2 linked regions of the Lonchura striata genome follow. The protein of the gene in region 1 purifies or fractionates together with the protein of each later gene. This does not show direct contact. Links are inferred from orthologs where the notes say so. Each region holds a gene or a part of one and is shown in the gene's direction. Other genes may lie near its edges.

Region 1 (7,352 bases):
AAATGAGTAAATTTAATCCAATCTACAAGTATATTTCTGCACCTTTTTATCCCTGACAAAAAAACGCTCTTGGAGGCGTGCCAAAGTCTCTTTCATGACTTTTCTGTCACATGAGTCTCTTGAGACAGAAAGGGTGTCCCTCCAGTTTACAGGATTACAACACAGAGCTCTGCTCTTTGAACTTCTAATCAGTTTATGTAGAAATCCCAAATCAGCACCTACATATTCACATCAGCACCCTGCCAACTTACCACCTGAGCTTCAAATGTGTTTCCACATCTCAAACCCCATCTTTTCTACCTTAGACTTTAAAAGCCTTTTGAGCTGCATCTTTCTACGTGTTCAAACATTCACAGTGCCATGCTGCAATGCCCCATATGTTACCAATTACCCTCACACAGTGCCCAGCAGTTGTACCACCACAGAGAAAAAAGACATGGTGCTGCAATTGATGGGAAGGACAGAACTTCTTGAAACAGCTTTGCCACCACAGACAGCGTCAGGAAGTTCTGTCCCAGCCCCTTGAAATAATTAAGGTGTACATTCCACAAATTGACACAAGTGGAAGCATCTCATTTCTGTTAACATTTAACTTAGACCTTGCTGGCATACTAGAGCAATTTAATCTTTTAAAAAACTGACTGCAACCTGTTAGGCTGGTAGTGAGTGCCCAAGGGCAGTTGCCTTCTCAGACATTCTGATGCAGTCTCTGGCTCATCTGAACAATCCAAATGACTTTTCCTTAGTCTTCTCAATGCTAGGTCAGCCCATTTGCTGCAAATCATTTTCAGTCTGAACTGAAAAGCACTGCCTGCTGAGCCGTGGGGCAGAAACATTGGCAGGTCTGGGGGGCTCAATGGCCACAGCCATCCATGCAGCCACCTGATAAACAGTCTTTAGCTCCAGAAGTGTTTTACATTACCCAAAATTGATTCTTTACCATTAAAAACAGTGCTTGAATTCACTAACTCTCCTTAATAAAAATTAATAGTAATGGTTTTCCTTATTATTTTTCAGCTAAAACCTACCCCAAAGTGTAGCACTGACGTGAAATAAACAGATAATGACAGTTGGTATGTTCTGTCCTTTCATTTCTTCATTGGTTTGTAGATTCAGGTCAAACTGGCAAAATAAAAGCAGGGGAGAAAATCTCTTTAAATGCAGATAAAAGACATGTCCATATATAATTTCCTTTCTACAGCTTGCTAAGGACTATAGCCCTTTTTATCATGTTTTTGTTTGCAACAGACTTGGTCCAGATTTTTGACCTTAAAGCCATTCATTATGTGATCCTATGCATTACATAATAGTGAAGGCTCACTCGTTATCTTGCATCCCCTTGCAGATTGATGCTTTAATTTTAATAAATAGAAAGTGTTTACTCTCAGTGTTGTTACAGGGCTAGCTTCCTCATTCCTGAACAGGACACCAAGGAAAACCTGTCAAGAAGATTTTGCAAAAGGATGTAAGACGTCCCTTGTCAAACCTGCTTTTCTCTACTTTTTAAAGTATTTTTCTGATTACTGCAACATTTGACTTTCGGGGATGGGAAATTTGACTGCATTTGCAAATACCGCAGATATAGAGAACTTTTCACACTTTTTACACTTTCAAAAACATGTGCATGGAAGTCTAGGGTAGGAATGCAAAGGAGGAGACTCATCATATTTTCTGTTTTGCCAGACAGCAATGAACCAGAATCTCTCATGCATAACAGAAATAATAGTTACATTACTGTAACTATTACCTGGGTGGAGGAGGAACAAAATCAACAAAATATACTGTGCTTGATGTTTCCATTTCAGAAACTGCAATCAATGCTGTATTTCCCTTAGTGAGGGATCTGCCGTGTTTAATTGACATGTCACCTTCCACTGGCAGTGATGCTCTGAGAGTAGCATGGTTCCAGTGGTACCCCTGTGATGCCTTTGGGAGCTGCATGGACAGTGCACACTGCCTCCCATCTTCTAGCTGTGCCCCATAACCCTGCTTCAAAAATACACAGCTACAACTACTCAGCTGAAAATTTTCACATTCAGCACAAACCATGGCTTTGGATCTTTCCATTAGAGAAAAATGCATGCCAGTCTGTAGAAAAATCTGAGGAATGTAGGTTCTGGCCAGTCTTTTCAGCAAGTTCTGGGTCTTATAGGAATAAAGTGTGTGTACGCTGATAATTAGTCACACAGCAAAGTACTGAACAAACAAACATGCTTTTTCTGTTTGTCACAGACGTAACACAATCAAGAAGTCATGCCCTAATAAGGCTTTTAGTGAAATATCAATATGAAATTATGTATACAAACAGTGCACAAGTAGAATTAAGCTCACCGTAGTCATGTTAGTTACTGATGCTCTAGGTTTCAGGAGAATTATTTCATACAGAACCACCACAGACTAAACTGGAGAGCAGCTCAGCCAGGGTTCCTAAGAGCAAGGCAAGGTGCTAAAATGCATCTCCCAGGACATACTGAACAGCTAAAATAAAGGTAGGGGGAATGCTGCATTTGCTCCAGCCATTACAGGAAAAGAAGACTTTCTTCTGTATCCAAGTATTTCCCCATATTTGAGCTCTGCATTCAAGCTGGAACACGATCAGAGCACTCCTGCAGCAAACAGCCATCAGGACTGGTGGCTGCTCAGTGTACTTTGTGACCTCTTTGAGAGCAGACAGGCAAACTAAAATATCCTCCTTTCAAATAAAATTTATTTCTTGGTACAAAGGTTTCCGATTTATTCCTTTTCAATGCAACTTAACAACAACGCATTTCAAGTGTACACACACTTATGAGGACTGGGAAATATCAGAAGAATACTTTTGTTTTTCTTGTTTGCTTGTTGGTAAAAATTAACAAGTAAAATTCTCAAAAAGACATGTTAATCACATATTGCTAAAATCTCCTGCCACAATGATACCAGCTTTCTAGAATTTCCTCACTGAATCTTCAGAGGATTTCCCACAGTAAAAGAGAAGTCATTCTCTGCCTCCCCATAATGAAACCCTTACAACTTAAATGCTAACTTCATACTTCAGGTGTTGAGAAATAATCCGAATGGAAGAAAGTTTCCACAATCTCTCTCCCTGTTGATCTTGGCCTCTCTCCATCTGCATTCTGGCTGCCCCACACGTATGGCTCAGGGTTCAAGTAACTAACATACTTCATACTTTAAAAAACTTTTTCTCGGTTAACTTTTGCCTGGCAAACCTGAAGTTCCTGCAAGCTGTAACAGAGGAAATGAGTGAGCAGTAAGCGAGCTTACAGCAGTCTCGGGGAGGCAGCGACAGCAGCAATTCTCTTCGGGGCAGAGTGCAGGAACCTGGCCCAGGAGAAAGAGAACATAAGGTAAAAGTAATCATGACGCTCTTCTCAAAAAGCTCTTCTCAAATGAGAGGTAGGAGCCTAGGGCTTCCTGCAGGGATAGGTAATTCTTTTCTAAAAGTGCTTTTAACAGTGACCTCGTTCGCTCCCGACAAGTCAAAACCTGTGTGTCCTGTTTTTTTCCAGCAGAATAAAACGACTCAATTTTTTTCGGGAAGAGAGCTTACAAAAAAACTCCAAAAAAAATGCAGGAAGAAGTGGCAAGAAGGGGTGTGTGTCCCCTCAAGGACTTTGTCTGCAAAATGACTCTGTGAATTCAGGAGTTGTAAAAGACTTCAGATATCACCGAGTCCTACCTCTGACTGATGAACTCAACTAGATCACGGCACACGTCCAGTTTTAACACTCAGGAATGCTGATGTGCCTGGGCAGCTCATTGCAATGCTTGAAAACCCCTTTAATGGGAAATTCCACCCAATGTCCAATCTAAATCCTGTCGCAGCTTAAGTCTATGTCCTCTTGTCCTGTTACTTGCTAACTGGGAGAAAAGACCGACCCCCACCTGGCTAAAACTTCCTTCTTAGGAAGCTGTAAAGACTGCTCATGGGCACTGCACTTGGCCAACTGCGCTGCCCTTCTCTGGACACGCTCCAGCGCCTCGAAACCCATGCGGTAGTGAGTGAGGCGTCCAGAGATGGACACAGCGCTCGAGATGATGCTCCGCCAGCGCCAAGCGCATCCCGGGACACGCAGTTTTCCCGCTTTCCCCGCTGCCTTCCCCGCCCCAGGCGCTTCCAGCCGGCACCGCGGGTGAAGCTGCGGCTCTCGGCTGCCGGGACTCACCGCACCGCCGCTGCCCGGAGCGAGCCGTCCCGGCGCTGCTCTTCCAGGAGAGGGCAAAGTGTGAGGGCGGAGCGGCGGAGCGGCGGGGCGGGCCGGCGCCGCGCCGCCCTCACGCCGAGCCAGCCCGCCCTGTTGCCGTGGTTATGGCGCAGGAGAGCCGCGGCGAGCGGGCCGAGGAGCCGGCGGAGCGCGGCCCCGGCGCGGCTTTTCACATGTTCGTGCTCATGGAGGACCTGCTGGACAAGCTGAAACTGCTGAGCTACGAGGAGGAGGCGCTGCGGCGCCATAACATGCGGCCTCTGTGCAGGTGCGGCCCTGCTCGGCCTGAGGGCGCGGGCGGCGGGCGGCGGGCCGGGCCCGCTCCGGGCCCTCGCAGCTCAAGGAAGGGGCTCGTGTGGCAGGGTGCCTGCCTCAGGGGACAAGCAGCTGCAAAGCTGCCCGTGTGAGCTGGAACCGAAAGCTTGAGATGATAATAATAATAATAATAATAGTCCCTTGACCTTCCCTGCCCCCCAGGTACTGGGTGTCTGCGTGCCGCGGTACCCGTGCAAAAAGTAATTCTACCTATTCGGCAGAAAGTAGCTCTGCCTAAATTCCAAGTAGTTCAAAATAACTCTAAGTATCTTGAATTCAGGATAGCTATTCGTGGGATATGTGTATTTTTTAACCCTTTGCAAAGAGGGCCCGTTTTTGGTAAGGCTGGGGTTTCATATCCAGTATATATTTGTTTCATATGTAATGTTTTTTATGTCTTTCTTTTAAATGATGGTGGAGACATGAAGCCTGGGAAACAGGACCAATGTGCTCCAAATATCCACCTGCCCAAATAACCCATTTGTCGCTCTTAGCCAGGCTCCATTGCAGGGCTGTCACAGAATTAAGCTTCTTACAAGGAGCATTTTGTTAAAGGGGTCCAAGTTACTCCCTTTTTGGGAAGGAGGCTCAAGTATGAGCACTGTGGCTGTAAATCAGTTCTAGCCTGCTCTTGAGCCAGTGGAATGTTTGGAGCAGGACAGCAGACCATTGTGTACCTTAGTGAGTGGCTGTGTTGGTAAAGAGAAGCATTTCCAGAAGTTCCCTGTGTCCAGCATGCATGTAATTTATACTTTGTGGGGTGGTCTGGTTTTATGGATTGATTTCTTGTTAGGACCACATATTTGAATTTGGCGTGATCCAAGTCAGATCCAGTTTTCATTGCTTTCCAAAGCAACCCAAAGCACAGTAGGTAAGGACAGGCGGAATGATCACTTCAAAACAAGCTCCTCGTCTGAGCTGAATTTTTAAATGTAGGAATACCATCTTCCTGCATTTCTTGAGGAAAGTGTGAAAGATGTGGTTTGGGGAACTTGGCAGCCAGGTCTGGTGTTGACTAATAACTTAGTCATAGGTGGAAATAAGCAAGCTGTAGTGTAGAAAGATGTAGAAAACTTGGTCTGCTGCATCCTGAATTTAGTTCATTGCTCATTGAGGAAACCGGGTAAAGAAACTGCTCTGTAGCCTGTGCTTACCTATAGTGTTGTAAGCTGCAGAAACTCACAAGATGTACCACTTGTCCCCCTTGTAAGCAGGCACTACTTTGCGCTGCCCACCAACCCCGGCGAGCAGTTCTTCATGTTCTGCACGCTGGCCGCGTGGCTGATCAGCAAAGCGGGGCGTCCCTTCGAGCAGCCGCAGGAGTACGACGACCCCAACGCCGTCATCTCAAATGTGCTCTCGGAGCTGCGCTCCTTTGTGAGTGTCACACGGGCTCCCTTCCCAGGTGCCTGCATTCCCTTCAGAAATAACAGCAGTCACACGCTCTTCTCCTGCTGGGTCTGGTCCCAAGGACTGGACAGATTTTCCTGGCTGTAAGTTTGTACTGTGTTACTTAGTAAATTGGAACTTTACATAGGCTGTACTGAAACGTGGATGAAAAATTAAAACCTTATAATTTTAATAAAGATTTGTAGGGAACGGTATGTTGATAGTGGACGTACACTGGGATTTATCACACAGCAGGGATTTCTTTTTAAAGGGTATGTGTACTTTTGAGAACTCTTGATTTTTTTTTTATTACTTTTATTAATTTTCATATGCATAGAATTTTACAATAGCTCTATGCATATTTATTCTGTTGATTTTGTGTTATATTTTTAGTTAGTTGTACTTAGTTTTTGCCAGAAAGTATAGAAAGAACTCCTGGGTTACATTGCTTTGCTTCAAAGTCTGAGGAGTCTTTTTTATCTCTTATTTTTTTAGTGTGGAAATTTGTATTTTTTTTTTTTTTCATTAGCTAGGATAACTTTGCTAGTGTTGTAGTTACTAGACTAAATAGCGTATTTCACTTATGTTAGCAAGTTTAAAGCGGCACATTTCACTTAAATCTAAATAGGCTTCTACTTTGTGAAATTTTCACTCTGTCTCATTACCTACTTGCTATTATTTTTAACATTACAAAAATGGTCTTATAAATGATTCCAGTTAGTTTTGTTCTGCAGTCTGTAAAATGGATTAAACCAGGCTTACCTTCTGTAGTGCCGCATATGTTGCTAATTTATAGTAGCATAATTTTCAGAGATTTTATCTGGAAGGGTTACACAGCTTGTGATATCCTGCTCTGGCCAAAGTGAATGACTTAATTTGTAGTGTCTTTGTAGTGTAGGAAGTGGTTTAGAATAGTGTTTGTGTCTTTTGTTTTGTTTTGTTTTGTTGAAGAGTAAAAGGAATACAAACTGCCAGAAACTACTGAGATTTTTTTTTAATGAAAAAAGCCAAACTCCAAAGGTCAGGAGACTATGTCAACTGACAAAAGTATGCTCTTATGGGAGATAATACTCTTTTGCAGTGTGAATTATGTTAAGGACACTCTGAAGGAGTTAAACTATATCAAACTACTATGTTTATTCTGCATAACAGCAATAAATTAAAATATTTTATAAGTAAAATCTGGAGCAAGCAGGACACTGTTGAAAAGTTGGTAGTTAGGTCTCAATACTTGAGTTTTTCTGTAGCTGTTCTTGCCTTGTCACTCGTGTGCTTGACTATCCAGATCTCTTGTGGCTTCTGCCTCTTCTGCTACCTGGGAGTATGCTCTTACCATGTGTTTAAAGATTTCTACACTGCATCTGTTCCTTGGCTTCATCTGCTTTTCCTTCCTTTGCCTCACTGGAGCTGCACAGGAGAAGAATGTAAATTGTCATTAATAAAATC
Region 2 (7,240 bases), on another chromosome or scaffold:
AATGGGCTGAAAAAGAACAAGTCCAGCATCTGTCAAGATGTAAAACCTGGAGACATTTTGTGATATGGAACAACAGGGATGTAATCTTAGATTTTGAAGTTTCTGGCTTCAGTTGTTGCCCATAAACTTAATTTAGCATTTTCTAGGGCATTTTTGTCGTCCCTGAATTTCATTAAGATGGAAAACGGTTGGAAGAAATTGACAGATCCAATGCTTGATCTTCAGTGAGTTTTACTGTACTCAGGAAAAAGGCATTTATTTTCAGGGCTCCTCTTCAGAGGAATTTCCCTCATTTCTCATCTTTCCAGCTGTTCTGATACTCTCTTATATTGGAGAACCTGTTTCTCTTGGTGTCCTGAGCTGATTTTGAGCAGCTCAGTGAGCTGGGCTCCAGGTCAAAGGCTCTGAAGTATTAACTCCAAAGTGAGCCTGATTATCCTGAATTAAATCTGTGATTATGACAGGACAAAACACAAGTTTGCTTTTGGGGGTTGCAGTAAGTATTTGACCTATTTTCTGTATGTAGTAGGAGCTGCCAGTTGAGCAGATTTCCCAAATTTTGGCTAATGTAAGATTTTTCATGTACCTTTTATAGGTTAACACTACTACATTTGAGACAGCATAAAGATAAAATCTGACACTTTGCTAGCAGCTAAAAAAAAAAAAAAAGAAGTGAAAAGCACCATAAAGCACACAATTATATTATTTTTTATTTCTCTGCATATCTTTAGAATTCAGCAGGTACTCCTGTGCTTTTTGGGGCTGATACTCTGCAGAAGGGGCTGTTAACGTCCTCACTCACTTGGATCCTGAAATCCCAGTTTCATGGATACATTTTCTGCCTGAGGGGAGGGCAGTGGATGTTTTCCCATCTTAATTTGTGTCACCTTCTTTCCATATCAGGTGTTCTTGGGAGCCTGGGTTTACAGCAGGGGTCAGAGGTGCCGATTCCAAAGGTTTGTGTTCCCACATGGTTACAGTCCATTGGATTTATTTGCTGTCACTTCAGTTCCTCCGGTTCCTGCTGGAGAGCTGGACTGAGCTCAGCCTTCCTCTCTTGAATAACTCTGGTCTCTCCCTGAGAACACCAAGTTTAGAGAAATCAAAATGAAAATTAGAAGAGGGAATTTTGTGCCTTTGTTCAAGTGTAATGTAGCAGCACCTGCACTGAACGAATCTTGGATTATTTCTAATGTTGGCTCAAAATGAATTTTTTTTTTCTTCTTTGAAACTCTTGTGGGCCACTCCACATTGGGAGTTAATGGAAAACAGGGCTGGGGAGAGAAAGCACCTTTTAAAAATGGAGTCTTTGGCTCTGTGGGTTCTGATGGTTATTTGCAAAGCCTTGAAGAGCTTTCATCTTTATTTTTCAAGTGTTCTTCACAAAATTAAATGTCATTTTTATCTGCCTAGTTGGGTTATCTGTGGATGTCTCACTGGTTGAGAATGGCACAAACTGGTTTCTGACATGAGTATTAATCAGCATTCATCTTCCAACGTTCCTGAACCAACATTCCCAGCTCTGGGGGAGGTTTCCCCTTTCCTTGTGGCTGTTGTCTTTTCCTGAGGCTCCTGGTTTGGTCCTGGCTCAGGGCTCTGAGTGCAGGAGCAGCTTTGTTTTCGTCCTATGTTTCCAATCCCTGTGGGGAAAGCACTGAGGTTGGCAGGGAATGTTCCTCCATCAGGACACAATGCCACTCTGATGCCCTAGACTTATGAAAAGCCTTGGAATTTTTTTTATCCCAGTTTTAATGAGTTGTTTGGAGTGGTTATTTTGAGCAACAGGTTTTGACTGAAATCAGCAATTGGCTTCTAGAGACTACTGAGCCAATTTCTGGGAAAAAAATTATATTTAGGGTGTTGGTGTTTTGTTTTTTTTTTTTGGGGGGGTGGTTTTGTTTGTTTGTTTGTTTGTTTTGTTTTGGTCATCTACCTCATCCCAGCTTGCTCAGACCTTTCTGGGATTCTGGACCTTGAGACTGGGGGTTTCCAGGTACAGAGTTGAGCTGAAAGATTGCTACATTTTTCTCAGCATCCTTTCCTTCCTGACAGGTGCAGAGTTCATGGCATTTCCAAGAGGTTTACTAGGGCCATTGGGAAGAAATCCTTCCCTGTGAGGGTGGTGAAGCCCTGATCGTGGGTTTTGGTTTCCAGTTAAATGGACCTGTGCTTCCTTGGGGTGCCTGTGTGGGAAAATGAGCTAATGAGGCCAAATGTAAATTCCCCCCTGAGATTCCTCTTCAGGCATCTCAGATGCTTCCTAGATAGTCAGTGAAAAAGCCCAGATAAACTACACAATCCCAAAATAAACATTCCCTCTTTCACAGAGCAGCTTCTTGCTTCCTCTGAGACTTCTTCCAATGCCCTGGGATGTGGAAGCTGTCAACACCTCCTGTTCTTCCCAGGATCACCAGATCCTGGAGTCAGAGCCTTTCTGGGAACCTCAGGGTTAGGGGGGAAGGTAAAATGCACTTCCCCCCTTGAGCACCTGCCAGGAGCCCAGGTGAAATTACCCTCTTGGTATAGAAGTGTCTACTGCCTTTTTGCTGGAAAAATTTCCTTGCCTGCACTAAGACCAGATGGATTTGCTTTGTAATACCTCCATTAATTCCCAAATCTGACTCTTTCTTTACAAAAGGCTGTGGGTTGGAATGGAGTGGGTGATCAAGTGCCACCCTCTTGCCATGGCAGGGACACCATCGACTATCCCAGGCTGCTCCCAGTCCTGTCCAGCCTGGCCTTGGACACTCCCAGGGATCCAGGAGCAGCCACAGCTGCTCTAAAAACAGTGCCAGCACCTCCCAGGAAACAATTCCTGCCCAATATCCCATCCATCCCTGCCCTCTGGCAGTGGGAAGCCATTCCCTGTGTCCTGTCCCTCCATGCCTTGTCCCCAGCTCCTCTCCAGCTCTCCTGGAGCCCCTTCAGGCCCTGGCAGAGGCTCTGAGCTCTCCCTGGATCCTTCTCCTCTCCAGGTGAGCACCCCCAGCTCTCCCAGCCTGGCTCCAGCCTTGCAGCATCTCCCTGCTCTCCTGGATTTGCAGTCCCTGTTTCTCTTGTGTTGGGTCCCACAGAGTCACCTCTTAAGTGATGAAGCAAAAACAAACAAACAGAAAAAAAACCCCAAAACAAAACAAGACAAAAAACAACAACAAAAAAACTTTTCCTGCTCCAATTCCTGCTGCTGACACACAGCATGTCTCCCTAACACGTTGTTCACTGCCTCTTGCTCTGAGGGGTAGGGGGGCATGGTTTTGAGGCTGTTTATGGGGGATTTGGGGCTGTTTCCAGGGGTTTTGGGGGGCTGTTTCCAGGGGGTTTGGTGCTCTTTTCGGGGGTTTTGGGGCTGTTTCCAGAGGTTTTTTGGCTGCTTCCAATGGTTAGGGGCTGTTTCTGCGTTTTTGGGGGCTGTTAATGGGGATTTTGGGTGCTGTTTCTGCAGTTTTGGGGGCTGTTTCCAGGGATTTTGAGGCTGTTAATGGGGGTTTTGGGTGCTGTTTCTGGGGATTTTGGGGCTGTTCATGGGGGTTTTGGGAGCTATTTTGGAGGGGTTTGTGGCTGTTTCTGGGGCTGTTTTCCGGGGATTTGGGGGCTGTTTATGGGGATTTTGGAGGCTGTTTTGGGGGGGGTTGTGGGCTGTTTCTGGGGATTTTGGGCCGTTTATTGGGGTTTTAGGGCTGTTTCTGGGGATTTGGAGTTTGTTTATGGGGGCTGTTTCCGGGGGTTTTGGGCACTGTTTATGGGGGCCTTTGGGGGCTACTTTTGGGGATTTTGGGGCTGTTTCCGGGGATTTTGGGGCTGTTTCCGGGGATTTTGGGGCTGTTTATGGGGGCTTTGGGAGCTATATTTGGGGATTTTGGGGCTGTTTCCGGGGATTTTGGGGCTGTTTATGGGGGCTTTGGGAGCTATTTTTGGGAGGCTTGGGGGCTGTTTCTGGGGCTGTTTCCGGGGATTTGGGGGCTGTTTGTGGGGGGTTTGGGGCTGTTTCCGTGGATTTGGGTGCTGTTTCCAGGGATTTTAGGGTGGTTTCCAGGGTTTTGGGGACTGTTGCTATGTTTTTTAAGGCTGTTTCCGGGTGTCTCGGGGCTGTTTCCCGGGTTTTCCTCGCTGAGGGCGGAGCGGGCCGGGCCGGTTGCTATGGCCGCGGCGCCCCTTAGCGACCGGCGGCTCGCGCGGGGCACGCCGGGAGCGGCGGGCCGGGGGCGGGCGCGCCCCGCCGCGGTGCCGGTTCGAGCCCCGCCGCGGTGCCGGTTCGAGCCCCGCCGCGGTGCCGGTTCGAGCCCCGGCGCGGCCCGGCCCGGCCCCGCCGCGATGAACGAGGCGGTGTCGCGGCAAACGCGGGAGACCCTGGGGCAGGTGATCCGCAAGCCGCCGCTCACCGACGCGCTGCTGAGCAAGCCGCCCTTCCGCTACCTGCACGACCTGATCTGCGAGGTGGGTGTGTGGAAGCCTGTGGGGCGTGCCCTCAGCGGTGTGTGAATCGCGGGGCTCTGGGCACTGCGTGAGTTTGGGGTGGAAAGGCGCGTGTGGCGGTCGGAAAGGGGGTCACGTCTGCAGAGGCAGGGTTAGGTGGGGTTTTGGGAAGGAATTCTGCCCTGTGAGGGTGGGCAGGCCCTGGCACAGGGTGCCCGGAGAAGCTGTGGCTGCCCCTGGAAGTGGCCCAGGTTGGACAGTGGGGCTTGGAGCAGCCTGGGGTAGTGAAATATCACAGAATCCCAGAATCCTTGAGGTTGGAAAAGCCACCCGAGATCTCTGAGCCCAGCCTGTGCCCGATGCCCCCCTTGTCACCAGCCCGGAGCACTGAGTGCCATGTCCAGGCCTTCCTTGGGTACCTCCAGGGATGGGGACTGCACTCCAGTGCCTCACCACCCTTCCCACGAAGAATACATTTCCTGCTGCCACACAAGATTTATTGAGCAGAGGCTTTAAATGTTCTTGACTTACCCCATTCTGTTTTTTAGGTGATCAGAGTGACAGGTTTTCTGAAAGGACTTTACACAGATTTCGAGTTGAAGTCTGATAATGTCAAGGTGGGCATGGGACTTCCTTATTTATTTAGTTTTCAGTGTTTTTTGCAACTCGCCAGAAGGTTCTTTTGGTCTTTTCTGTGTTCAGCACCAAGGAGCTGTTGTTATTTTTGTGAAGAAGTTGTAAATCCTGCCTGTGGGGTATAATATACTTTCCATGGGGTGAACACCTATAGTTCTGTGTCCAAATTTCTGGTTTTAAAGAGTCTTGTGGTCTCTCAAGAGAATCCATGGCCCTTAACTTACTGCTCTATATATCTTTGTTTATAAATATCCCCAGGACTCACCTATCTAGGATATGCAGTAGCTTTATTGCTGTGTAAAACTGGCTGATTACTGAAAGAGGAGTTTGATATTATTACTGAAAACTCCTTAAGTCCAAGGTTGACTTTACTCTCTGTCTGCTGCTTTCCTCTGATTTTTGGCTGAGCTGATGCTGAGTTCCCAGCTCCCATCCTGATTTGGGAGCTCTGGTTGCTGATTCCTGGCAAACAGAGCAGTGTTTGTGTGTTGCCACTTAGGCAGCTGATCCCATGGTGTTTGTTTAATGTAGCAACTGAAGTGTGAGCTCTGACTCCTCATCCCTCCAGCCAGCTCTTGCATGTTTTAGTCACTGATTAATGTGTGTGTTTATTTCTGTGACTGTTCCTACTGCCGTCAGGATAACTAAAATTAAGTAATTTATAACTGAATTGTTTGGTTTCTTGATAGTGTCCTTGTTGACCCAAAAAGCAGATTTCCCAGCTGCTCCTGAGCAGGTCTTTGTTGCATCTACGTGCTGCTATGTCTCTGAGAATTTGTTTCACAAATTTCTTTCACAGCCGATAAGTCCTTGGGGTTTTCCAGAGCTCAGGCAGAGGAAATCAAAATCCTGGAGCGTGGGGGAAAATGTCTCAGCCTTAAGTTCCTCTTCCCAAAACTGGTCAGGATGAAGACTCAGCTGCTTCCTTACTGTGATCTCTCTTGGAGTTGTAGAAGATCTGGAGAATAATTTTTTCTGAGTAATCAACAGGAGAGAGCTGTAAGGAGGACTGAAATCATGATGATTTCTTAATTGTGAGGACTTCTGTGAAATTTCACTTGGCTTTACTTTGTTTATTTGATCTTTTATTTTTACTTCTGATTTTATGTTATCACTGGAAGACATCATCTCTAGTGAAGGGCAGCTGGGGCAGGTTGTTATTAAAGGATATTTGTAAAACTAAAACAAACATGATTATTGTGGAGATAAAAATTTTCTCTTAATTGCTGTTTTACCAGGATAAGGATTCCAAAATCAACTTCCTTCAGAAGGCCATCGATGCTGTTGTGATGGTGACAGGAGAGCCACTGTCAGTGAAACCAGCACGAGTTGTGGCTGGACACGAGCCTGAGAAAACCAATGAATTCCTTCAGGCAATTGGGAGGTGTTGCTTAAATAAGGTAGGAGATGATACAGATTTTATGCACACAGGGAGCAGGGACAGGAGGAGAGGGAGCAGCCGCAGGCTGGGCCAGGGCAGGCTCAGGGTGGACATCAACAGGAATTTCCCCATGGAAAGGGTGCTCAGGCCTTGGCAGGGGCTGCCCAGGGTGGTGTGTAGTCCCCATCCCTGAAGGTGTCCAAGGAACACCTGGAGGTGGCACTCAGAACTCAGGGCTGGTGACAAGGTGGGCATCAGTCACAGCTTGGACTTGATGACCTTGGAGGTCTTGTCCAACCCAAATATTCTGTGTTTTAATTACCCCTCTGCTGTCACTAATTGCACAGTAGAAACATTTTGTCACCCCTTAATAACAATAACAGCAGATAGAGAGTTCTTGATCTTCAGCAAGAGCTTGAGCCAGCTTCCCACACAAATGCATTCTGAATATTAAGGATTTTATTGCTTACTGTTGTTCACTTTATTTGTTTGTCTTTTAACAACACTTATTAGATTTGAAGCACAAAATGAAACTTCTGAACCTTTAACATTTTGGGGTACAGATGCATTACTTAAATAACCAGTTCCTTTGGCTTTATCTCCTTTCAGTCAAATCTCTTAATCGTGGAATGCAAGTAATTTCTCCACTGTGCTTTTTTTTGATTATGGAAATACAATAATGGCAAAATTTGATAATTGGTTAAAAACAACTGCAGGAGCTGTTCTTATACAGAATTATTGCATTCTTTCACAGAAATATTATGTTTTTACACTGAATTGTTACATTCATAAAATAATAATTGTGACATG

The links. Proteins that work in one complex are often made in the same cells at the same time.
Region 2: the proteins of IFT57 (region 1) and TRAF3IP1 purify together in Homo sapiens (affinity purification with mass spectrometry; 3 studies listed by BioGRID and IntAct, counting the BioPlex papers as one, with this or other methods). This does not show direct contact. The link is inferred for Lonchura striata from reciprocal best matches to the Homo sapiens genes IFT57 and TRAF3IP1.

What each region holds. Positions count from the first base shown.
Region 1 is NC_134604.1:2,787,447-2,794,798, reverse strand, and holds the start of IFT57 (intraflagellar transport protein 57 homolog), read left to right. Parts: upstream 1-4,256; 5' UTR 4,257-4,306; coding exon 4,307-4,470; intron 4,471-5,731; coding exon 5,732-5,894; intron 5,895-7,352. Other genes in the region: HHLA2 (HERV-H LTR-associating protein 2), read right to left, coding at 1,029-1,092. UniProt on the Homo sapiens protein: Required for the formation of cilia. Plays an indirect role in sonic hedgehog signaling, cilia being required for all activity of the hedgehog pathway.
Region 2 is NC_134610.1:36,518,988-36,526,227, forward strand, and holds the start of TRAF3IP1 (TRAF3-interacting protein 1), read left to right. Parts: upstream 1-4,225; 5' UTR 4,226-4,311; coding exon 4,312-4,434; intron 4,435-4,961; coding exon 4,962-5,030; intron 5,031-6,287; coding exon 6,288-6,449; intron 6,450-7,240.